7 linked regions of the Rattus norvegicus genome follow. The protein of the gene in region 1 interacts with the protein of each later gene in a biochemical or structural test. Links are inferred from orthologs where the notes say so. Each region holds a gene or a part of one and is shown in the gene's direction. Other genes may lie near its edges. The genes, in order: Itch, Mlana, Nfe2, Numb, Wbp2, Ndfip1 and Junb.

Region 1 (4,170 bases):
TACTTAAAAAAGCAACACCCCGCCCCCACACACCAAACCCAAACTTAGGGTTTCATCATGTAACATTAGTTGGTCCAGAAATCTCAAGATATCTAGGCCTGGCTAACCGTGAACCCATTTGTCTCTGTCTTCTAACTGAACCTGAAGCTTACTGTGTAGTCTAAGCGGGTCGACTAGAGAGCTCATAGGTTTGCCCGCCAGTGCTGGGGGAAAGGGGTCTGTGCCAGCTTTTACATGAATGCCGAGATTCAAGCATCCTTGTGCTTGCACGGCAAGAGTGTTTACCCACTGGACCATCTTTCCAACTCAGAATCGTTATTGTTTAATAAACTCTCTCGGCATGTAATTCATTTTCTTTTTTCTTTTTTCTTTTTTTTTTTTTTTTTTTCGGAGCTGGGGACCGAACCCAGGGCCTTGCGCTTGCTAGGCAAGCGCTCTACCACTGAGCCAAATCCCCAACCCCTCGGCATGTAATTCATAATATGGTGGTTTCAAAGGTATTTCAAAAAGTGTAAGTGACTTTCTAGATGGTTTCCTTACGAGGAGACAGGATAAACATTAATAGCAAAGTCTGCTAATTATTTAAGTGCTTAAGTAGTACCTCTATTACTACTACTGCACAGCCTATTAATTCTCACAAACACCTCCATGAAGGAGATTGGGGATAGGCTTAGATGCGATTTGCCTGGGTTAGATGCGATTTTCCTGCACGCGGTTTAATGTAAGCATCTGAAAAGGTAACAACAGACATTTTTCTCAGTTTTGTTGTAAACGTTAGGAAGTATGCTTTCCAGTTTTTAGAATTCAGGCCGCGTTGGCGCCGTCAAACTGTCACCCTCCTAAGAACGCCCTGTCAAAAGGTGGAGAAAGGAGAATTTGAACCCAGTCAGTGTAACTCCAGAAGGATAGAACCCGCACAGTGCTTCTTAAATTGTGATTCCTGCTGTCAGGAGTATCAATAGAGAACTTGTTAAAAATGCAAATTGTAAAACACCCCCCAACACCCCGCACTCCATGCCAGATCTACTGAGTCAGAAACTGGTGGTGGAGATCAGCAGTCTGTTTTTAAAAGCTGGTCAAATGATTCTGAGACACCCTAGCGTTTGGTAACAGTTTTTTGAGGTTCTGGCAGGGAAGAAGGGGTTAAAAGGAAGCAACAAGGAAGGGAGAAAGAAAGGAAAGGAGAAAGGAAAGAAGAAAAAGAAGGAAGAAAAGAAAAAGCCGTGGATATGTAGAGAGCAAGGCTAAATTCACTTCACCTGGAGGTGAGGAAAAATGATTTAGCAGGCTGGCGCGCAAAGCCTGTTGGGGCTTGTAGTCCGGACTGCGTCTAAGAGGACGCGCCTGCGCACTAAGTGTGAACTAGCTCTAGTCGCTGTAGTCGGGGCTCGGGACCGGCTGCCATCTTAGCGGAGGGACTGAGGAGTCGTCGCCGCCCCGAGTCCCGGTAAACACCCGCAGGCAGACTGGGGTCATTTCTGTGGCTTGGAGGGAGCTTGGATGAAAAGGCATGGAGAATGCGAAGGGTAGAGGAGTGTTGCGTTCGAGTCGAGACCTAAAGCCGGGGCTGCTCTTCCCACAGCCGGTGTCCGTGGGGGGCGCCCGGAGAGCGGGCTGGTGGCCGGAGCCGGGTGGCGGGTGGGTCAGCAGGTCGAGCTGAACTGCTAGTGCTTGGCCTAGGCGCCCGGAGCCTGTGGACCCGCAAGCCCCAAGTTGGGAGAGAGCCGAGCCGCGGCGGACGTGGGTAGGGTCCAGCCCCGCGCCCCGCTGCCGCGCCCGGGGGCTCCTCTCCTGCGGCTCGGCCTACGCGCGGGGCCCGGTGGCAGCGGCCCGCCCGCGCGACGTGGCCCTTTGAGGGGCGGCGGCCGGGCCCACCTGCCACTTGGCAGGCTCCCCCGAGACTTTTCCAAGCTCCCACTCGCGGAGGACCTTCCCCAGTGACTGCCTCCCCTTCTGTCTTGTACTTCCCTCCTCCCTCCATTGTCCCCACTCGTGGTGGTCCCGGCCCAGGCCGGCGCCGCCGACTTTTGCAGACGTGGAGCTGTCACAGTCCTTCCTACTGAGAGCGTACTTTTCTTTGGGAAAAAAAAAAGTAGAGGTGAGCGTATTTGAAAGGTGGAAGCCTGATGAGGGCAGGACTTTTAAATAGAAGACTCGCGTTTTGAGACTTAGTTCCTGGCTGCAACTTCAAAAGAGAAAAAATATATATAAAGGGTCAGTGCACCCGAAGTAGACATTGGGCCCCAATTAGAGATGTGACCAGGTGAACTTGCAAAGTACCCAAAATTCACGGTTCCCCAGTCACTTGTTTTCTTGACTGTGTTAGAATACTAATCCTGTTCAGTTTTCTGCTCTTTAAGAGCTGCAGTGAACTCTCTCTAAAGGGAGCATTGGGGGAGAAGAGTGAGGTTTTCTTCCTCTTCAAAGTTGACAGAACACAATCTAGCCCCCCATCATTGTTCTCTTAAGTGGGTGTTTCTCCTGTCTCCTTATCTTATGAAAGTAGGTAAAGACCGTGTCTGTTCACTCCCAGGATTGGCAAAGGGCTCCGTTCTCATCTGAAATAAAGTCTTTTAGGGGACACATTTGAAATTCAACCTTGTGTATCACAGGTTTACTTAAGGCTTAATTTTGCACGTTTAGGAAAGATTGAAATTCTCTTTTGAACAGTGAATATACTTTGTGTGCATGAGTTCAGGAATTCAGACTTTAGAATAGATGTCAACAAGGATATACTATGAAACCAAAAGCAAGTGCCTAATACCTTTTTATTGTATTCTAGAGTAAGTTCTACATTCTTTAAAAAAAAAAAAAAAAAAAACAAAACAAAAACTAGCTTTACTTAAGAGACAGACTGATCCATGGTCCCAGAATTTGTCCATTAGCACAGTTACAAGAGCTTTTGGGTTTTTTTTTTTTTGTTTTGTTTTGTTTTTGTTTTTTTTTCTTTTTTTCAGAGCTGGGGACCGAACCCAGGGCCTTGCGGTCGATAGGCAAGCGCTCTACCGCTGAGCTAAATCCCCAACCCCAGCTTTTGGGTTTTTTGTTTTTGTTTTGAGACATGATTTGCTATGTATCTCTGACTGGACTAGAACACACTGTAGTAAACTTAGACTGGCATCAAACATTCTGATTTCTTGCCTCTCCCTCCCTTGTGCTGGGATTATAGGTACATACCATCAGAATGGGCTCAGGAGAAATTTTTAGATTTGTTTATTTGTGTGTGTATGTGTGCGTGCGCACACCATGACTTGAGTTGGAAGTCTGAAGATAACCTTCAAGAGTGTTTCCTCTTTCCTGTGGGTTCCAGGGTTCAAACTCAGGTCATCGGACTTGTGTAGCAAGTGGCTTTCTGTTGAACTATTTTGCTGGACCAGGAGATCGTTGAAAGTAGAGTTTGCAGCCCAGTTGGTAGAGCACTTGTTTACCATAGACAAGAGCCAGAGTTTATTTAACTCTCAGCAGCATTGGGAGGTGAGGCCGGCCTGGGCTGCTCGAGACCCTTTTTAAAAAGTAGACGTTCTCAGGTCTCACTTTTGAGATTGATTAGTGGATCTGCATTGGCTTCTCTCACTTTATTACAAATGTGCTGTAGGTAGTGGGGATGGTTTTGGGAACACTGAGGCAAATAATAGTATGGTTATAACAAGGACAGCACAGAAAGCTTTGAGATAGGAGAGAGAGTGGAAGTGGTCAGTGTGGGAATTGTTGAGGGGAGTGGCAAGACCTGTCAATGAGAGGCAACATAGTGAGTTCCAGCCCATCAGAGCTACATAGTGGGCCCTGGCTCAAAAAAGATTTTGTCTATGGACCTGAAGTTCTAGAGTAGTGGTTCTCAAATCGAGGGTTTTGACCCCTTTGGCAAATGTCTAGCTCTAAAAATATTTACATTGTATTCATAACAGTAGCAAAATTATAATCATGCAGAAACAGCAAAAATAATTTTATGGTTGGGGTCCCCACTACATGGAGCACTGTATTAAAGGGTCACAGCGTCAGGAAGGGTGAGAGCCGCTGTTCTGGAGGATGAGTAGGAATGTGACAGGTGAAGAAAGGGAAGGTAGTGCCGAAGGAAACGCCTCAAGACGTTGAGGCGTGTGTGGTTTAGGAGGGATGTGGGAGAAAAGGGGTTCAGTGCACAGAAAGCAGTGGAGGAGAGGGTTATGGGAC
Region 2 (2,153 bases), on another chromosome or scaffold:
TCAAAATACCTCCAGGGAAAGATGCTTATGTGAGAGTCTTGATCACCAAGACAGCCGACTGTCTTCTCAAGAAAAAAACCACCAACCTGTGGTATGTGGCCATTGTGCATCTGGGCACTTTCATGTCAGCTGCTTTCAGCCCAAGTAAACAAAGTGATTTCTACTAAAGCATAATCTTGAGTCTACTCAGTGTCACTAAACTGTTACTGACCTATGGCAATGCTCACGATTAGGACTAGCATCTGAGCTCAAAGATAGCCCTTGCTTTGCATGCAGGAGGCCCTGGATGCGAGCCACACACCTGCCCCTCCCCCGTTCAGGTCAGAACGGTAATTCTTGTTTTGTATATTTTACAAACAAACAAAAACAAACATGGGAAATGTTTTTTTTTTTTTTAAAGCTGTGTCCTCTTTTACTTAGATTTTACAGCCAATGAGAGTCCTACATGTCAGAGACAGGGGAACATTTTCCCCTGTAGAGCTGAGCCACAACCACATGTGTTTAACACTTGAAACCCTAGTTGGGAAAAGGTTACTGGGCATTTAAGTTCTGCACGGAACTTGCATGCATTTCTGCTGCATTCACTCCTGTACCTTAGGCATATCAAAGTAATGCATGGCGTTGATTCTGGAGTCAGACAGCGGGGCTGTGTCTCAGCGCCATGACTTCCTGTTTGTGAGCTAGGGCAAGTGCTGTTTTTATGCCTTGGTTTTTCCCCTGGAGAAAACTCCTTAGCTGAATGATTGGCACACTGTGCTCAGCTGGTAGGTCCAAGTGCCTCTCTGACTCTGCCTTTTAATGATGTGTATCATCAATGCCCCTCCCCCAAGTCCTACATGTGCTTTTAGACACAACTAACAGGGACCCATGTGGTGAAGATGAAGTGTTTGTTGAGTGGTACTCAGGATTCCAGAATCCATGGGTAGGTGAGTTGCCTCAGGGCTGCTAGGCCTGACAACTTTGAGGTTGGTCCCTGAGACCCACCTGAACCAAGGAGAGAACCCATCCCCCGCAATGGTCCTCCGACCTCCACATGGCTATGGCACCGGTGCTGCCCCCATAAACAAGATGGCTAAATAAATAAAACCCAATTATTTCATTAGGACTTGGAGATTCTGAGGGACAATCTGAGCATAAATACACTTTTCAATTTTGGGAATATCTTTGTCTCTTTCTCTTCCCTCCAACATTTCAGTATACAAGTTGGTAAAATTTAACAATTACTCCATTGGAGGAAAAAATCTGTACAAACGTTTAGAAGCTTCAGTCCACAGGGAAAGCATAAATGCAATGCAAACTGCCTTGCCCCTCCCCCCCCAGACCATGCACACCGCTGCCAAGTCTACATGCTGCTCCTCTCTCCTCCTCACAGGTTCCCAACGCTCCACCTGCCTATGAGAAGCTCTCTTCAGACCACTCGCCACCACCATATTCACCCTGAGAGCCGAGAAGCTGCTAAGAATTCTGAAAGTTTCCTTCATGCTTTCGCTTTAAGGCTGAGTAGATGCCCATGTTTTGCTTTAGAATGCTATAGAATGTACAGCTATACTAACAGGCCAGGGTTAAATTCTTGGCAGGGCAAGCAGAAGGGTGGCGAGGAATGGTGAGAAATATTAACCTTGGAAAAGCGTCAATAAATATCTCAACGTATATTATCTGTCCCAGTGGCAATGCCATTAAATCATCATTGTTAGCATTGTTTTGAGGGGTGAACTCACCTGGATGACCAGGGAGCCTCTGATTTGCAAAGAAATTTTTATCTTTATGTGTGCCCACATTTATGTATGTGCATTTGCATGCTGATTCCTGCTGAAGCCGGAAACTGTTAGATTCCCTGGAGTCGGAGTTACAGGAGGCTTTGAGCTGCCTCCTGTGCGTGCCGGAACTAAATGAGTTCTCTGAAGGAGCAGGGAGCACTTTTAACAATGCAGCCACCTCTTCTGACTTTCTCCTGCTTCCTAAAATGAAACGCAGCTAGCTTTCAAACTACTCTTCAGCTTTTAAAAGCAACCTATTGGCCAGTGTGAGCTGTGCAGAATTGCCACAGATGTTATGGGCTGTTCAGAAAGGATCCCGTTACAGGTTTAAAACAACTTGCTTCTGCTGGACAATGTTAACCACGGTGCTCTGTGTTCTAAAGGGATCCCACAGTA
Region 3 (2,426 bases), on another chromosome or scaffold:
CTAGTAAGGGCTTCTCCTGATAAAGAAGACTCTGTAGCCAGTTCAATGTGAGGTTGTCTTCTCTGAGGGTCTCAACAGTGACTTTTATTCCTGCTTTTTTTTTTTTTATCTTTATTAACTTGAGTATTTCTTTTTTCTTTTTTCTTTTTTTTTGGTTCTTTTTTTCGGAGCTGGGGATCAAACCCAGGGCCTTGCGCTTCCTAGGCAAGTGCTCTACCACTGAGCTAAATCCCCAACCCCAACTTGAGTATTTCTTATTTACATTTTGATTGTTATTCTCCTTCCCTGTTTCCCGGCTAACATCCCCTTAACTCCATCCCAACTTTTATTCCTGCTTAAACAGCCTTTTCCTCTTCATAACCCCAAACCCCCCTTTCCCTATTTTGATACAGGATTTCTTTGAGTAGTCTCAGTTGTCCTGGAACTCATTCTGTAGACCAGGGTGGCTTTGAACTCAGAGATCTGGTTGTCTCTGTGTCCAGAGTGCTGAGATTAAAGGTGTGTCCCACCATGCCCAGCTTCTTTCTTTTTCCCAGAGTTTCTCTATGTAGTCTTGGTATTTACTGTATAGTGCAGGCTAGCCTAGAACTCAGATTGCCTTTGCCTCTTGAATGCTGGGATTAAAGGGGTTTACCACCACTGTCCAGCATAGTCTATCTTCTAAGCCTCTTTTTTTTTCTCTCTTTGCAGGGTCTAAATGTTCCAAGTGAGCCATCTTTTGAGCCTCAAGCACCCACCCCATACCCTGGGCCACTGCCACCTCCAACATACTGCCCCTGTTCAATTCATCCAGATGCAGGCTTCACCCTTCCTCCACCACCTTATGAGCTCCCAGCATCCACTCCCCATGCTCCAGACCTCCCATACTCCTATGGCAACATAGCCATACCCGTGTCAAAGCCACTTACCCTTTCAGGCCTGCTCAATGAGCCCCTCCCAGACCCCTTAGCTCTCTTGGACATTGGGCTGCCAGTGGGGCAACCCAAGCCCCAAGAAGATCCAGAATCTGACTCGGGATTATCCCTCAACTACAGCGATGCAGAATCTCTTGAGCTAGAAGGTACAGAGGCTGGCAGGCGGAGGAGCGAGTATGTGGACATGTACCCGGTGGAGTACCCTTACTCACTTATGCCCAACTCTTTGGCCCACCCCAACTATACTCTTCCGCCCACTGAAACACCCTTGGTCTTAGAGTCATCCTCCGGTCCAGTGCGGGCTAAGCCTGCTGTCCGTGGGGAGGCAGGGAGTCGGGATGAGCGGCGGGCCCTGGCCATGAAGATTCCTTTCCCTACGGACAAGATAGTTAACTTGCCGGTAGATGACTTTAATGAGTTGTTGGCACAGTATCCGCTAACGGAGAGCCAGCTGGCTCTAGTTCGGGACATCCGTCGGCGGGGCAAGAACAAGGTGGCAGCCCAGAACTGTCGCAAGAGAAAACTGGAAACCATTGTGCAGTTGGAGCGAGAGCTGGAGCGGCTGGGCAGTGAAAGGGAGCGGCTCCTCAGAGCCAGAGGGGAGGCTGACCGCACTCTGGAGGTCATGCGCCAACAGCTGACAGAGCTGTACCATGATATTTTCCAGCATCTTCGGGATGAATCTGGCAACAGTTATTCACCAGAGGAATATGTACTGCAACAGGCTGCTGATGGGGCCATCTTTCTGGTACCCCGTGGGACCAAAATGGAGGCCACAGATTGAGCTGGCCTAGAGGGGGTGGACACTGGTGCTAGGAACTCCCCTCATTCCCTTCTGATAAAGGTACTTCCCAATCCCCAATCAAGGCTGAGTTCTCCAGACCAAAAGACCATTTGGAAGTTCAAAGATGTATTTGAGGTTTGCCTGGAGGCCAGGTGAGTGTTGGCTTCTCAGGTCCCCACCTCTACCTCTTGTCCAAGCTTTGGTCCATAAAGAGCTGTGTGGAAATAGCTTTCCATTGTGTCTTCTTTGAGGATCATGAAGCTAAACTGTCTCAGAAACCGCTGTTTATTGGAGATAAGGAAATCCTAAGCTCATTTAAAGCATACATAAAATTAGGGCATGAGCAATTTGACAATCCACCTGCCTTCACAGCAGCTTCCAGAGTCAGGAGCCCAAGTGCTTTGAGGAACTCCTGTCCTTGGTGGCCCCCTTATTTCATAAATGCCAAGAGCTGCTGTATCCCTCTGTGGAAGGTCTCTGGAAAACACACACACTCCTGATAGATTCACAAACTTTTTCTCCTGCTTACTTTTCACTCTGGGTCTGAGAGGCCAAAGATCTTTTGAAGCCTAAGTGACTGGATTGTAAAGTTTGAACAAGCACTCAAAAGTTGAAGGCATTTCAGTCACACCTTAGTAATGTCCCACATTCAGGCATGCATTGTACCAGAGCCTCAAAGCTAGGCAACTGAAAAGGCTACAAACCAATCCTTGGTTAAGACAACTGCT
Region 4 (4,200 bases), on another chromosome or scaffold:
AGCCACAGGAAGGCCTTTATTCCAAGACCTTGTGTTTGAGAACATAGACTTCCTTAAAAAAATCTATTATCGTAGCTTTGCATATTCCGGGTGGAGTTGTGGAGAAGGTATATTTAAACTTGACTTAGAAACTGAGAGAGTAACCAGGCCAGCATTTTCTTATTTCGGAGTAGGAAAAGCGCTGAAAAGGAAAAAGGAAAGCAGAGAGAGCTAATGACGAATGCATTTCTAGGAGCAGAATTTTTATAGCAACACCAGATTTCTCAAAAAATGCCTACTGAGATTTGTACCCAAATGAATAAGAAGTGCAATCATTTATTTTCGTGTATTGTACCAAGTGATGGGGGGAAAAGCCCTGCGATTCATTCAATGGTCCTAATTTAGACTGCTAAGAATAGGAGAGGTAGAAAGAGAGCGAAAGGAGAAAGGGAGAGAGGAGGGACGGACGAGAGAGAGAGAGAGAGAGAGAGAGAGAGAGAGAGAGAGAGAGAGAGAGAGAGAAAGAGAGACACACACACACAGATTGATTGATTGATTGATTAGTATCTGGCAGACAGCTAGTAATACAAGAACTCCTAAACTTAAAACTCAGGTAGTGCTAGGAAGTGATAGTGGGCGCGTGAACTTCTTATTTCCAAAGCACTATAAGGATAAATTGCTGCCCATGTTTTCAAATCTTGATGGTTGTTTGGTCACTTGGCAGACCCAGGAGAGTGGGTCTGGAAGCTGGGAAACTCTTAAAACGACAGACACAATTATAAATATTATTTCTTGACGATATTTATAAATGCAATGGAAACAGACTGCTGCGCTCTGCCCTAACCTTAAGCGTGGAGACTACCGGAAAGAACTTCAGGGAAACTTGAAGAAAACACGAGGGAAATTTTAATCTATGAGATACCTTTCTGTTGAGGAATGGGACCGTTCTTAGACACAACCCCTGAAGTCGTTCCCTCCTTAAGCTGGCAGAGATGTTTCCCCTTTTAGGAAGAGAACCAGAAAAGTAAGAGTTTACTGCGCCAGCCCCACAACAAAGAGTTAACCCTTCCCGGTAACCTCGGACGTGAGCATCTGCCCCTTCTTTGCTTCTACTGCGCAACCAAACTGTGCACGGGGCTTGAACCAACCGCGGCCAGCACACTCCTTGCCTGTTAAGGTAACAGACACTATCAGTAGCCTATCATAACTTCGAACTGCCCAATCATCAACCAATTACAACTAAAGCACGATCTAGGCCGGTCCAGGTCCGGGCGGGGGCGAAGACTCGGTCCAGGAAAAGGGGCGGTAAAGACAGGATGACAGGCAGGAAGAGTCAACCAATCATAGCAGAGAGCCGCCGCCCCTCCAGCCAATGGATAAGTTGGAAGTGTGGGATGGGGCGGGCCTGTTGTCATGGGGGAGGTGGTGGCGCTTGGTGACTACTGGCGGCGGAGGTAGAGTCTGAGGCGCCGGAGTTGTGCAGGGCCAGCGGCAGGTGAGTGCGGGCGCGGCGGGCCTGAGGTGCGGAGGCGGTGGCGGGCCGGAAACTCTAGCTGTGCGCTCCGGAGGCAGAGGCCGGGGGCCAGGGCTGCGGGCCCGGGTGCGTCGGGGTCGGGCGCGGCGGGAGATCGGCCGGGTTCCTGCCGTCGGAGTTCGCGCTGGGAAGGTAGGTTGGCGTGGGACTCCGGCGGGGGCAGGCCGGGAGGTCCCTTGGGCTGCCCAGAGGCAGCCCTGGGTACAGTGACGGGAGCCTGTGTGTGTGCGGCTTCCTGAAGAGACCCGAGCGGCGGGGGTCTGCGAGTGGGGGCGACCCGGAGCAAGTGGCCCCGGGGCCGGAGAGACGAGGGGATACCGGGGTTTCTCGGTGCTCTGGGAGCCTAGGGGGCCGAGAGAACTGGGAGTGGCCCCTGTCGGAGAGTGGTGGGAGGTGAGGAGACCGAGGGTGGCGGGGGTCCGGGGTGACAGGGAATGGAGGAAAGGCGCCGAGTACGGTGCGAACCCCCGTGAGAAGGGCAGCTGTCGGAGGAGGAAGGGTCTGCGGGGTGGAGACCTTGAACGAACTCCTCCGGGGAGGGACCGCGGCGCCCTGCCCCCCACAGCGGGTCTGGGACTGGAGTCTGGACTGAGGGAGGACCCTCAAAGTGACGGCTTCGAGTCGCACGAGTTGGGATTTGAGACTAGGATAAGGGTTCAGCGGCAAAGTGGAAGTTCCCCTTAAGCAAAAAGGGTTGGAGGTAAGAGGGGAAGAGTAATTTCCCTGGAGGAAGGGAGTTAAGAGAGATCTGGGGAAACTTGCCCGGGAGTGGGTGAGTGGTCTTGTAGTCTTGTGGAAGCTGGCCAAGCCAGTGGATCTGAGAATTTAACAATGGTGCAAGTGAGGGCTTCCGAAAACAGGAGAAACTAATTATTACTAATATGCCAAGCTGGACCAGAGACTCCGTCCTTAAAAGCAAGGTTACAGTGTCTTGGAGGCTAGGGCTTTAGAAATAAGTTTTAGGATGACAGCGAAAATACTGGAAAATAAGAACATCAACAGGATGGGGAATTTGAGAGGAAAGGGGAAGGGATAGCCGAACTAAAGGACTTCTGTGACTTGATCAGATAGAGGGTATTCATGAAGCGGATAGGCATGCCCTGCTAAATTGAAAATAACTTAGAATTCTTGTACTATTACTTCTCTGGTAATACTAACAGTTTTTACTGAGAGGGATTTAAATTGTATTTATTTTATTATTCATTCATACGTTTTTCAGAAAGGGTCTTGCTCTGAAGCCCTGGTGAGACCAAGCTCACCTTGAACTTATAGAGATCCCTCTGCCTCTGTCTCCTGAGTGCTGAGACTACAAGTATTCCAAAAAAGTTGTGTGTGTGTGTGTGTTTTTTTTTTTTTTTTATGAATTTGTAGAATTTTTGGAGTGGTGACTGGTGCAGAACTCAGCACTGGTTTGTTACATAGAAAGATCCAAGACTGGAAACACCTTCCTACAGGTTGGTTGGCTCCACCTGAGATTTCCGATCCAGAAGGCCCAGGGGTGGGGTTCAAGAATTTCTCCCAAGCGATGCTTAGTGTTCTTCAAGGGATCATATTCTGAGAACAACTTGCTTTAGTGAAAAGTAGTAGCAGTCAGAACCTTAAAATACTAGAATACCTGCCCATCTTGCTGAAGAGATGAGAGAGAGAACACATCTTATTATAAAGGATACCCCCCCAGTACTGTGGGTGATATTAAATATCTCACACATGCTAGGCATGAGCTCTATAAAAAGTGCTACTCCCCTAACCCAAGAATTTTTTTTTTGAGATCTTAAAAAAATGGAATATTGAACATAAAATAGAATATACTACTTGATAAAGAAAACTCTTGTTTAGGGAAACTTCTTACATATATTTTAAGTCACAGTGTAAAATCTTTGTCTTACAGTCAGAAAAGTTTGACAAACTATTTTGAGTCACAGCATGGGAGAAGCATCCCTTCAATATTAAGGAATTAAGTTATTTATTTTGTGGTAGTTCTCAGGTGGTGATACAGCAGTTTGAATTACTGTGAATTGTGTTGAGGCTCTGATTCTGGGGAACTTTTTTGGATCCCTTGAACCTGGCATGCTCACTTACAGGGAACGTGAGGCAGAGAAACAGTGGTGTTCCTCAGATGGCCCTCTGCAGCTTCACCTGTGCCCTCCTGTTGCCAGTTTTCCTCTCTCTGTACTGAGAAGACATATTAACATTGATCAACTAACTCAACATTGAACTGGTTTAGAATATTTCATGTATAAAGGATAAATAAGCACAAAAGTAAACATTGCAAGAGAGAAAAATGAAAGGATAGCTTAATTTTAGAGGCTAATCTCAGCACTCTGACATCTGAGGCAGGAGGATTGCTGGAAGGCAGTGGCCAGCCTGAGCGAGAGAATAAGACCAGGCTTTAAACAACAAAACCAAGGAGGGAGAAAGGAGAGAGAAAAAATACTGATGGGGTAGAGGCTCAGCTACACTTGTGGGTTGTGAAGGAGCTTTTGTTTTGTGGATTTTATTTTCCTGAGAGTGAAATGGGTTCAGTATATCTTGTATACTTAACTTGTCTCAGGAAACTAAATGTAATTTACAGTATTTAAAGCTGTATTTAAAGTGTATATGAATGTTTTGTCTTATTCTTAGAACAGTGTTTTTTCTTTACTTTTTTTTTTTTTTGAGCTGGGGACTTTTTCTCTTGAAAACCAGAT
Region 5 (2,980 bases), on another chromosome or scaffold:
TAAACTACCATCCAGCCGCCATTGTAAATCACCCAGTGCTGGGCTCATTCTCATACTCCCTCCCCCCCAGCACAGCTCTCCCTCGCTTCCTCTGACGCCTGTCCTTGACCCCACCATGTTGCCCTTTGGCCTTTTTTTTCCACCCTCCCCTCACCACATGGTGACCTAGGCAGACCCCTTGGGGTGGGCAGTGGAATGGTGGTAGGGCACATCTGTGGGCACAGTCCTGGGGCCCATCAGTCCCTGGAGCAGGTGACACTCATGCCTCTCTCCCCTTGTACTTATAGCCTCCAGAGGTGAAGTCCCCAATGGAGCCTATGGGTACCCTTACATGCCCAGCGGGGCCTATGTCTTTCCCCCACCAGTCGCCAATGGAATGTACCCCTGCCCTCCTGGCTACCCCTATCCACCGCCCCCACCCGGTGAGTGTGTCCTCTGCTGCCCAGACTCAGCCTCCGCACCCACCCACTAACCATACCTTCAAGCTGCCGAGGGGAGATGTGCCTTTCATGCTTTAGGCCTAACAGACACTGGAGAGTTTAGAGGGCACTCCAAGGAACTAGATAGGACAGCCACTCCAGATGTAGCCTTATGAGGGACCCAAGTAGGCCGCTCACTGTCTCTGTCGCTCTCTTCCCAAGCAGAGTTCTACCCTGGGCCTCCTATGATGGACGGGGCCATGGGATATGTACAGCCCCCACCACCACCCTATCCTGGGCCCATGGAGCCTCCCGTCGTCAGCGGCCCCAGTGCCCCCCCTACTCCTGCAGGTGAGGCCCCCTCAGCTTCTAGCTGTCCTTCAGGGCCAGCCCTCTCTTCCCCAAGATCTTACAGAGAACTCCACACAATGGCTGGAGACTACTGACCCTCGAGTGACGAAGGGCCTGGGTTACAGACCACCCAAGGGCATCAACAAGCGGTAGCCTGGTGGTGAAGAGCTATATTCCAAGGGCTGGGTGTGGTTCAGTGAGCACTTGCCTGAATGGGGTGGCCTAGGTTCTATCCCAGGTGCCACAGAACACAAATCTGAAGGTACAATGAGATGAGGCCTCTGCAGCTCCTTGGCTTGTGGTGGCTTCTTGGCTTGTGGTGACCTTTTTGGACCCAGACGGTCACCCTCTGTGCCTCGGTGTTCTCATCTACAAATGATCCTAGGAACTCAGGTGAGGGTGAGGAGAGGCTTACTGCTTGTTGCCGTCTCCTGTGTGTTTGTGTTCACAGCTGAGGCCAAGGCTGCAGAAGCCGCTGCCAGCGCCTATTACAACCCGGGCAACCCACACAATGTCTACATGCCCACGGTGAGTTGGCAGGAGACCGCCTTCTCAGTCACGCAGGCTGGGAGCTGGTGTTGGAAGCGAGCACAGAGAGTCCTATGATGTCTCATGGGAGCTTTGTGCTTTTTTCTCTAGAGCCAGCCACCACCACCACCCTACTACCCTCCAGAAGACAAGAAGACCCAGTAGACCCTGCCCACCTCCTGCCTCTTACCTGAAGACCCCTTCCTGGGCCTCCCATGGAGCTGCATCTGGGATTCCAGGAGGCCAGGGAAGGCCCTGTTCTTCCCCAGGCCTAAGTATAAAGTTAGCAGGAGCTAGCCCTGATAGAAAGGTGGAACTCCTGGCCTCTGAGAGGGTCCCAGCTTCCCACCCTAGCTCAGCTCTCAGCGCTGTTCTACCCAGCCTCCCTTTAACCATCTCTGGAGCTCACAGGAGCACGGGGTAACCCCTTGTTCCTCATGATAGTGGACACACACACACACACACACACACACACACACACACAGAGGGACTCTCTGGCCACTCCTCTACTGCTGTCCAGCCCCTTGAGCCTGGTGACCATTGTTCTTCATCTCTTGGGCTCAGAAGACCAGCCTCGTCTCCCACAGGCCCTGCCCAGTCATGTTCACATTCCTTCCCCTTCCTTCCCCCCCCCCCCCCCCCCCCGCGTGTGCCTGGCCCTGGAAGGCCGCTGTCCCAGCAGACAGTCACACTCACCCGGCCTCGCTTGTTCTTTCTGTTGCTTCCAGGGATTTTACCTGGAGCTTCCAGTGGCTGGCATCAGAAGCAAAGCCACTGTGGCAGAGAGGAAGCCCCTCTGCCCCTCCGCCCCCCTGCCCCTCCATCCCTCCGCTGGTGTTTCTGGGGATTATTCACTCTCCTTTTCCCTTCACAAGGGCCTTCTCTGCAGGAGCGATAGAGAATGCATGTCTGCCCCATTGGGCCTTTTGGTCTGGGATTCCTCCAACCACATGACCTATACCCCAAGCCCGCCTCTCCATGCGCTTCGCCCCCTGGATGCACTAAGAGTTGCTCTCGTTTGTTCCTGGTCTGGATGCAAAACAAGGAGATGGTTATTTAAAGAGAATTCCTATTTATTTGACACAAAAAGTCCAGTTAATATATTAATGTGAAATAAACCCTGTTTGCACCTTGATTTGTTTGCTACAACTGTGAAATAGTAAAAAAAATGAAGTGACTGGATGCTCACTTGACTCCTGTGTGGTGACCAGGGTGAGGTGGCTGCTGGGGGCGGAGCTAGAAGCCAGCTTCCTCCTCACTGAGTCTTAAGAGTGTTCGTGTGGCTCTCAGTCTCCTTAACAGAGGCACCGCACCTGTCTGGGATGGTGCGTGTGCCACACACTGCCAGCGGGGGACAGGAGAGAGGCCTGTGTCCCATCTGCTGCTTCCAATCCCCTCCTGAGCAAGGCATGCCAGGACTAATGTGAGGGAGAGTTGCTGGGCTGGCTACCATGGTGTGTGCCTCCATGCTGCCTTACCTAAAGAAGACGACCTACCGTGGGAATAAAGCAAAGTCTTTAGCCGACCTGTACCCCGCACCCCGCTCGAAGTGAGCCAAAGAGCTGTGGGAGATTCCAGTGCCGCAGTGTCCTCTCCTGACCAAAATGCTCCCATGTGCAAAGGCTGCTCCAAGGCCTCGCCACCTCTTCTGCCACCACCCCCGGGGGCCTCAGGGCTAGTGA
Region 6 (3,500 bases), on another chromosome or scaffold:
CACCAAAGGAAGTCAGGACTGGAACTCAAAGCAGGAGTCAGGAACTGATGCAGAGGCCATGGAGGGTTGTTACTTACTGGCTTGCTCAGCTTGCTCTCATAGAACCCAAGACAACCAGCCCAGAGACAGAGGGCTGGGTCCTCCTTCCCGTGATCACTAGTTGAGAAAATGCCTCACAGCTGGGTCTCATGGAGGCATTTCCTCAACTGAGGCTCCTTTCTCTGTGATAACTCCAGCTTGTGTCAAGTTGACACACAAAACTAGCCAGTACACTCCTGTTCCAGGGGATCCAACACCCTCACACAGACATGCAGTCATAAACACCAATAAAATAAAAATAAATTTAATTTAAAAAATAAGAATAGTAACTAAGACTATGAAATAAATAGTTTAGAAGGAAGGCTCTGGAGATACTAAAATGATTGTATCTGCTCTAAGTTGCTGAGCGTTAACGCTCATAGTTCTGAGTTGAACCAGTAATAAATGCACTCTTAGATCCTTGTGTTTTTCCGGATGTCACTCCTTTGTCTAGAAGTAATTCATTATGACCTTGTCTCATTCTTTTTCCTTCATGTAGGATGAAGATTTTGTGGGTCGGGATGATTTTGATGATGCTGACCAGCTGAGGATAGGAAACGATGGGATTTTTATGTTAACCTTTTTCAGTAAGTTTGTACACACCAGGCACTCCTACAGACCCGAGTGCTCTGAGTTCATCAGTGGAAAGGATGATTAAAGCAGTTATGGGGCTGCATCTGTACACAACACAGGTCAAGTCCAATCTTCCAGGGTCCACTGCTGTCACACCCGCTCATACCTGTGTGGCCGAGTGAGAGTGCCAACTTTGATAGGTTTTGTCCTGTAAACGTCTATTTTTCTGATAGATCAAAGTCAATCTGGTTTCCCACTTTTTATGTTGTCTTATATTTATGTTTTTATGTTCCTCATTTAGCAATGGGCACTTTTTATTTACTCTATTAAAAGCACAGAAAGTGTAATGCAAAAGAAGGGATGCCAAGAGCTGTCAGAAAACAGCAGGAGGATGAGAAACTTGAATCACATTCCTCTGGGAGCTCCAGTTTAATTTCCAAAGCGTTTAGTTTACTTATTAACCTGTATGGCAGCAAAGACAGAAACAGGTTGTTGGGCATTGACAGCAGCACCATGGAGGATAAAGCAAGAGACTCAGAGTCTTTTCCTTTGCTCTTGAGGGAGATGGAATAAAGAGCGGCGCCTGTGGGGAGGCGGAGGTGGGCTGTCCAGGTGAAGCTGTCTTTCTGTCCTTGAGAGCCACACAAGCAGAGGCTGCTGCAGCGTGCACTTCTAACACACCTTTCCCTCCACTCTTACAGTGGCATTCCTCTTCAACTGGATTGGGTTTTTCTTGTCTTTTTGCCTGACCACCTCAGCTGCGGGAAGGTATGGGGCCATCTCAGGATTTGGTCTTTCTCTAATTAAGTGGATCCTTATTGTCAGGGTAAGTTGCATAGCAGAGAACATAGATTGTGAAGAGAGGCAGTAATTAGAATGACTTGAATGTTGTCATTTTTGCCTTTTGTTATTTCGACATGTAAAGTGATAATTTGGTTTGTCTTTGTTCTGTTTCCACGATAAACTGAGCTAAAATCAATTGCAGAGTTCCTGTCTCCATATTTCATGTTCAAATTCAAGCAGGTGATCTATCTTACAGGTTGTTTTGATGCTTAAAATATGCTAATGAATGTATAGTCTGGAGTTTTTATAACACAAAGAGTATTTGCAATCTCACAAGAGGTAGGCATCCTTCACGTTAATTCTCTTGAAATTTTAATCTCACAACTTTATTTATCTTTCTTTAATTTTTCCTACTAGGACTGAGGTTAAGTATTTACTGCTCCATAGGGAATTTCTTTTAATAAAATTATAAAAATGTGTGTCTTTAATATAAGAATACCCAGGTGAAATTACATAAAATACTTTAAATTCTAGAACATCTAGGGGTTTTTTTTTTTTTTTCTTTTTTCTTTTTTCTTTTTTTTTCGGAGCTGGGGACCGAACCCAGGGCCTTGCGCTTGCTAGGCAAGCGCTCTACCACTGAGCTAAATCCCCCACCCCACATATAGGGTTTTTAAAAAACAAAATTAGCTTTAATTTATTCAAAGTCACACAGCTATATAAAATGGCTTCAAAGAGGGAGCCAAAGTCCACAAGATGCTTGGCCTGGGTTTCTAGAAATTCTTTAAGCCCAAAATATGCATATGCTCAGTCTCCTAGAACTCAGGGCTTGGGCCCTCCCAGTGTTATCAGAATACTCCTTGATGGAGTGCCTGATCTCGACGGAGCTGCTGTGAGAGTTGAGGATTTGATACAAAGTATACATTAAAAGTTCAGATGTTTCTTGGTGGTAATGATGATCACCTTTAATCCCAGCACTTGGGAGGCAGAGACAGGCTGATCTACAGAATCTCAGGATAGCCAGGGATACACAAGAGAAACCCTGTCCTAAAAAACAAAAATAGAAAGCCTGATGTTGAATCAGGTTCACCAGTGGGTTCAATAAAGTATACTTTGCTGCTACACATAGGCAACCCACACTGTAATCCCAGCAGAGATGGGTGGGTCTGTGAGTTTAATCCAGCCTGTCACATAGTGAGTTCCAGGCCAGCTAGGGCTGTACAGAAAAGGCTGTCTACAAACAAACCAAGTCTCCTTTGTCTTCAGATGAGCTTGTTGCTATTGTCAACCTGTCTGGCAAAGCCAGATTACTATAATTCGGCATATCGTGGCTGGGAAGATGGTTCAGTAGATATGAGCACCTGCTTTCAAGTGTGAGGACCTCAGTTGTCCCCACCCACATAAAAAGATAACTGTCCAAGTCTGTAACCTCCACAGTGCTGGAAGTGGAGATGGGCAGGGCCCAGAGTCTGCTGGCCAGCAGTTTAGTCCAAAGGCAAGTGTCTGGTTTAGTGAGACCTTGTCTTGAGGAGATTAGGTGAAGAGTGGTAGAAGCAGACATCTGATGTCCTGCTCTGGCTTCTGTTGTGTGTCAGAACACAGGTACATCTTTCATTGTGCATGGCATTACACATAAACAACACACATAAGTAATTAATGGATGTTAATTGTCCATTGCAGTTTTTCACAGCAGTTCTAAAGAGCTCATTAGCTATTTTGGGAATCCAAAATCCTTTGAAAATTAGATAATTGTGGGCTTTTCCCTGGATAGCTAATTTATATAGCTAAAAGCATGGACTTTAAGGAAAATAAGAAAAGAGTCAAAACTCGTGGACTTTTAAGACCCAACTGCAAGAGAAGTTGTTCCTTCTTTTTAAATTTTATTGTTAACTTTATTAATAAATAAAATATTAAGATCTAGGGAAAGTCCTTGCCACAAAATTGTGATGTCCTAAAACCTATGTAAAAGCCAGATGTAATATAGTACATGGTTTGTAACACTGGTGCTCCTGTGGGGAGATAAGAGGCAAAGAAGACTCTCTGGAAGGGAAGCAGGTCAGCTAGTA
Region 7 (3,530 bases), on another chromosome or scaffold:
GTACTCAGCTGGATTGTGACTTCCCCAGGGGTCGCTCGCTGGGGTTCCTCTTCCCAGGCGCAGAATTTGGCAGGCCCAGGCTAGGGTGCACCAACCCTTAGGCTCAGAATGACGAGACAGGGCCGGGCTCTTTCCCCCTCCGGGCTATTGCCACACTTCCTGCCTCGGCTCTTTTTCCCTAGCCTGTTTCTAAGGAAGGGAGTGGGGTTGGGCGACCGCACCCCAGCTATCCCGCCTCTTCGGCCCTCCAAAAGCTGACAGGATATCGGGCGAGCCCAGAGTGACTAAGGGGAGGCTTTGGACTCAGGTACAGGGTATGTCAGTGCCTAGAGACCACTTACGAGGTACAGTCTCATTCTTACAAGCCCCTTGTCTCTGGGATCCTCCAAGTCGTCCTCTCGGGTAGATCTCAGATACCCTCCTGGCATCGCCTTTACAGCTCAGAAGGAAGCCATGTCCTGACCATTTTAACTTTCCATCAGAGTTCTGCAAATAATCACAGTGACCCCAATCTTTGCTAGATATGTTCCCATCTTCTACTCCTATTGCCTCAGCGTTTCCAGGACCCTTGTTCACTTTCTGCATATCTAAATTGACCTCCCCAAAATTACTCCCCTTTTCCACTTATGGGAGAACCCTCAGACTCATCTGTGGGCTTTAGAGCCCCTACTCATTTCTTATACAATAGGTACCTGACCCTGCTTCCTGAACCTTCTCTCCCACCTGTTCTTTAAGCACTTTGCACTCGGGGCCTCTAGTTAATTCCTAGGTCAAATGTTAACAATTGCTCCCGTTTTGTACCTTCCCTGTTTTCTGGGGTCTTCTAGTATATTGTCAGTTCACAAGTCACAGCTATTGTGGGTCCCGCGAGACTATTCCGGGTATATCCTGAGGCACCCCATCTCCACTTGCAGTGTACAGAGATCTCATAGCCACCGGGTTGTACTCCCGCAGTCCTAACTCCTATGTGCCTCGGTCCCTCAACATCCCTTTGCTTGAGTGTCTCTGTCTCTACAGCCCCTCCCCCTGCAGCCGCGCAGAGCCACCGGGCTCGTGGCCGCTGTTTACAAGGACACGCGCTTCCTGACAGTGACGCGAGCCGCCTCCTCCCCTTCCCCACGCTCTAGGAGGGGGCCGCGGGGGCCTGGCTCCCGCGTCGGCCAATCGGAGTGCACTTCCGCAGCTGACAAATTCAGTATAAAAGCTTGGGGCTGGGGCCGAACACTGGGGACCTTGAGGGTGGCCAGGCCAGCTTTGGATCCTGCAGGGAGCGGGGAGCTGAGAGAAGAGACGCTGAGAAAGCGGGCGCACCACGGAGGGAGAGAAAAGCTCCAGAAGCCGGGCAGCGCTTTTACGCACAGCTACCAACTGGCCGCTGCCGACCGTCTCCAGCTCCCGAGGACGCGCGACCGGACGCCGGGTCCCGCCACAGCCGAGGACAGCTCGCCGGTCGCCGCAGCGAGGCCCGGAGCGGCCCTTCAGGGGGACCTTTCCCAGATCGCCCAGGCCGCCCGGATGTGCACGAAAATGGAACAGCCTTTCTATCACGACGACTCATACGCAGCGGCAGGATACGGTCGGAGCCCTGGCAGTCTTTCTCTTCACGACTACAAACTCCTGAAACCCACCTTAGCGCTCAACCTGGCAGATCCTTATCGGGGTCTCAAGGGTCCTGGGGCGCGGGGTCCAGGCCCAGAGGGCAGTGGGGCAGGCAGCTACTTTTCGGGTCAGGGATCAGACACAGGCGCATCTCTGAAGCTAGCCTCCACGGAACTGGAGCGCTTGATCGTCCCCAACAGCAACGGCGTGATCACGACGACGCCCACGCCTCCGGGACAGTACTTTTACCCCCGTGGGGGCGGCAGCGGCGGAGGTACAGGGGGCGGCGTCACCGAGGAGCAGGAGGGCTTTGCGGACGGTTTTGTCAAAGCCCTGGACGACCTGCACAAGATGAACCACGTGACGCCCCCCAACGTGTCTCTGGGCGCCAGCGGGGGTCCCCAGGCCGGGCCTGGGGGCGTCTATGCTGGTCCGGAGCCGCCTCCGGTCTACACCAACCTCAGCAGTTACTCCCCAGCCTCTGCACCCTCTGGAGGTTCCGGGACCGCCGTCGGGACTGGGAGCTCATACCCGACGGCCACCATCAGCTACCTCCCACATGCACCACCCTTTGCGGGCGGCCACCCGGCGCAGCTGGGCTTGAGTCGCGGCGCTTCCGCCTTTAAAGAGGAACCGCAGACCGTACCGGAGGCACGCAGCCGCGACGCCACGCCGCCTGTGTCCCCCATCAACATGGAAGACCAGGAGCGCATCAAAGTGGAGCGAAAGCGGCTGCGGAACAGGCTGGCGGCCACCAAATGCCGGAAGCGGAAGCTGGAGCGCATCGCGCGCCTGGAGGACAAGGTGAAGACACTCAAGGCTGAGAACGCGGGGCTGTCAAGTACTGCCGGCCTCCTACGGGAGCAAGTGGCGCAGCTCAAGCAGAAGGTCATGACCCACGTCAGCAACGGCTGCCAGTTGCTGCTAGGGGTCAAGGGACACGCCTTCTGAGAGCCTCCCTTGCTCCATACGGACACCCCCAGCCTTGAAGGCTGGGCGCCCGCCCCCCACTGGGGTGAGGGGGGCAGGCGATGGGCACTCGCCCAGAGGTCTGGGGCGCAGCTCACACACTGGACTCTGGCCTGCCCGCCTGCGCCCAGTCCTTCCACCTCGAGGTTTACATGGCCCCCTTCCAGCGTATTTTGTATGTTTTTTTTTTCTGGAAAGAGACTGAATTCATATTGAATATAATATATTTGTGTATTTAACAGGGAGGGGAGAAGGGGGTTGTCGCGGCGGAGCTGGCCCCGCCGCCTGGTACTCAGCCTGTGGGGATACTAGGGAGGAACCTCCGCCCCCTGCCCTCCCCCTCTGCACAGTACTGTGGAGAAGAAACACGCACTTCGTGTCTAAAGTCTATTTTAAGATGTGTTTGTGTGTGTGTTTGACTTTTTATTGAATCTATTTAAGTAAAAAAAAAGTCTTTATTAATTTCTGTGGTCTCTTTCTTCCAAGCTGGGCGGATGGAGGGAGAAGATTGGGCTGCCCCAAGCCCGGGGCAGTTTGTAGTTCTCTCCTTTCGGGTATCTTAAGGTCCAGTACAAGCGCTCAAACCTCCCATCCCCTGAGTCCTGGCACCAGACGCTGCGCAGGCAGGCAGTGGCCGAGAACAAGCTATCCAGGCCCAGGACAAAACCCGGAATGTGCAAGCACGGCCCCGCCCAGCCCCGTGCGCCGGGGCTTTCCCCGCTGACGTTACGGAAGCGCTGCCCATATATGGGCCTATTCAGCTCAGTGACGCCAGCGCGGTCTCCGGGCAGATTCCGGGAATCCCCTCCCCCTTCTCTGCCGGGCAGGGCCGCGGCGCCGGGAAGGGGGCCGGGATTTTCCCGGGCAGGCGGCTTTCTGGGCGCGGAAAGCCCCAGGCCGGGGTCCAGGGCGCCCGCGGTGGGAGGGCTGTGCTCTCCGGAGCCCTGGGAGCCACCCGAGCG

What was found.
Region 2: the proteins of Itch (region 1) and Mlana form a complex in vitro, tested with the Homo sapiens proteins (2 studies listed by BioGRID and IntAct, with this or other methods). The link is inferred for Rattus norvegicus from reciprocal best matches to the Homo sapiens genes ITCH and MLANA.
Region 3: of the proteins of Itch (region 1) and Nfe2, one has a biochemical effect on the other in vitro, tested with the Homo sapiens proteins (2 studies listed by BioGRID, with this or other methods). The link is inferred for Rattus norvegicus from reciprocal best matches to the Homo sapiens genes ITCH and NFE2.
Region 4: the proteins of Itch (region 1) and Numb form a complex in vitro, tested with the Homo sapiens proteins (3 studies listed by BioGRID). The link is inferred for Rattus norvegicus from reciprocal best matches to the Homo sapiens genes ITCH and NUMB.
Region 5: the proteins of Itch (region 1) and Wbp2 form a complex in vitro, tested with the Homo sapiens proteins (2 studies listed by BioGRID). The link is inferred for Rattus norvegicus from reciprocal best matches to the Homo sapiens genes ITCH and WBP2.
Region 6: the proteins of Itch (region 1) and Ndfip1 form a complex in vitro, tested with the Homo sapiens proteins (2 studies listed by BioGRID). The link is inferred for Rattus norvegicus from reciprocal best matches to the Homo sapiens genes ITCH and NDFIP1.
Region 7: the proteins of Itch (region 1) and Junb form a complex in vitro, tested with the Homo sapiens proteins (2 studies listed by BioGRID, with this or other methods). The link is inferred for Rattus norvegicus from reciprocal best matches to the Homo sapiens genes ITCH and JUNB.

The regions. Positions count from the first base shown.
Region 1 is NC_086021.1:164,104,426-164,108,595, forward strand, and holds the start of Itch (E3 ubiquitin-protein ligase Itchy homolog), read left to right. Parts: upstream 1-1,370; 5' UTR 1,371-1,447; exon of another isoform or gene 1,448-2,823; intron 2,824-4,170. UniProt on the Homo sapiens protein: Acts as an Acts as an E3 ubiquitin-protein ligase which accepts ubiquitin from an E2 ubiquitin-conjugating enzyme in the form of a thioester and then directly transfers the ubiquitin to targeted substrates.
Region 2 is NC_086019.1:236,895,228-236,897,380, forward strand, and holds the end of Mlana (melanoma antigen recognized by T-cells 1), read left to right. Parts: coding exon 1-91; intron 92-1,372; coding exon 1,373-1,441; 3' UTR 1,442-1,653; downstream 1,654-2,153. UniProt on the Homo sapiens protein: Involved in melanosome biogenesis by ensuring the stability of GPR143. Plays a vital role in the expression, stability, trafficking, and processing of melanocyte protein PMEL, which is critical to the formation of stage II melanosomes.
Region 3 is NC_086025.1:136,260,734-136,263,159, reverse strand, and holds the end of Nfe2 (transcription factor NF-E2 45 kDa subunit), read left to right. Parts: intron 1-690; coding exon 691-1,698; 3' UTR 1,699-1,926; downstream 1,927-2,426. UniProt on the Homo sapiens protein: Component of the NF-E2 complex essential for regulating erythroid and megakaryocytic maturation and differentiation. Binds to the hypersensitive site 2 (HS2) of the beta-globin control region (LCR).
Region 4 is NC_086024.1:109,281,664-109,285,863, reverse strand, and holds the start of Numb (protein numb homolog), read left to right. Parts: upstream 1-1,400; 5' UTR 1,401-1,474; intron 1,475-1,480; exon of another isoform or gene 1,481-1,645; intron 1,646-4,200. UniProt on the Homo sapiens protein: Regulates clathrin-mediated receptor endocytosis. Plays a role in the process of neurogenesis.
Region 5 is NC_086028.1:101,810,808-101,813,787, reverse strand, and holds the end of Wbp2 (WW domain-binding protein 2), read left to right. Parts: intron 1-287; coding exon 288-422; intron 423-641; coding exon 642-770; intron 771-1,221; coding exon 1,222-1,298; intron 1,299-1,409; coding exon 1,410-1,463; 3' UTR 1,464-2,480; downstream 2,481-2,980. UniProt on the Homo sapiens protein: Acts as a transcriptional coactivator of estrogen and progesterone receptors (ESR1 and PGR) upon hormone activation. In presence of estrogen, binds to ESR1-responsive promoters. Synergizes with YAP1 to enhance PGR activity.
Region 6 is NC_086036.1:30,551,525-30,555,024, forward strand, and holds part of Ndfip1 (NEDD4 family-interacting protein 1), read left to right. Parts: intron 1-577; coding exon 578-665; intron 666-1,352; coding exon 1,353-1,477; intron 1,478-3,500. UniProt on the Homo sapiens protein: Activates HECT domain-containing E3 ubiquitin-protein ligases, including NEDD4 and ITCH, and consequently modulates the stability of their targets. As a result, controls many cellular processes.
Region 7 is NC_086037.1:40,079,881-40,083,410, forward strand, and holds Junb (transcription factor JunB), read left to right. Parts: upstream 1-1,245; 5' UTR 1,246-1,515; coding exon 1,516-2,550; 3' UTR 2,551-3,030; downstream 3,031-3,530. UniProt on the Homo sapiens protein: Transcription factor involved in regulating gene activity following the primary growth factor response. Binds to the DNA sequence 5'-TGA[GC]TCA-3'.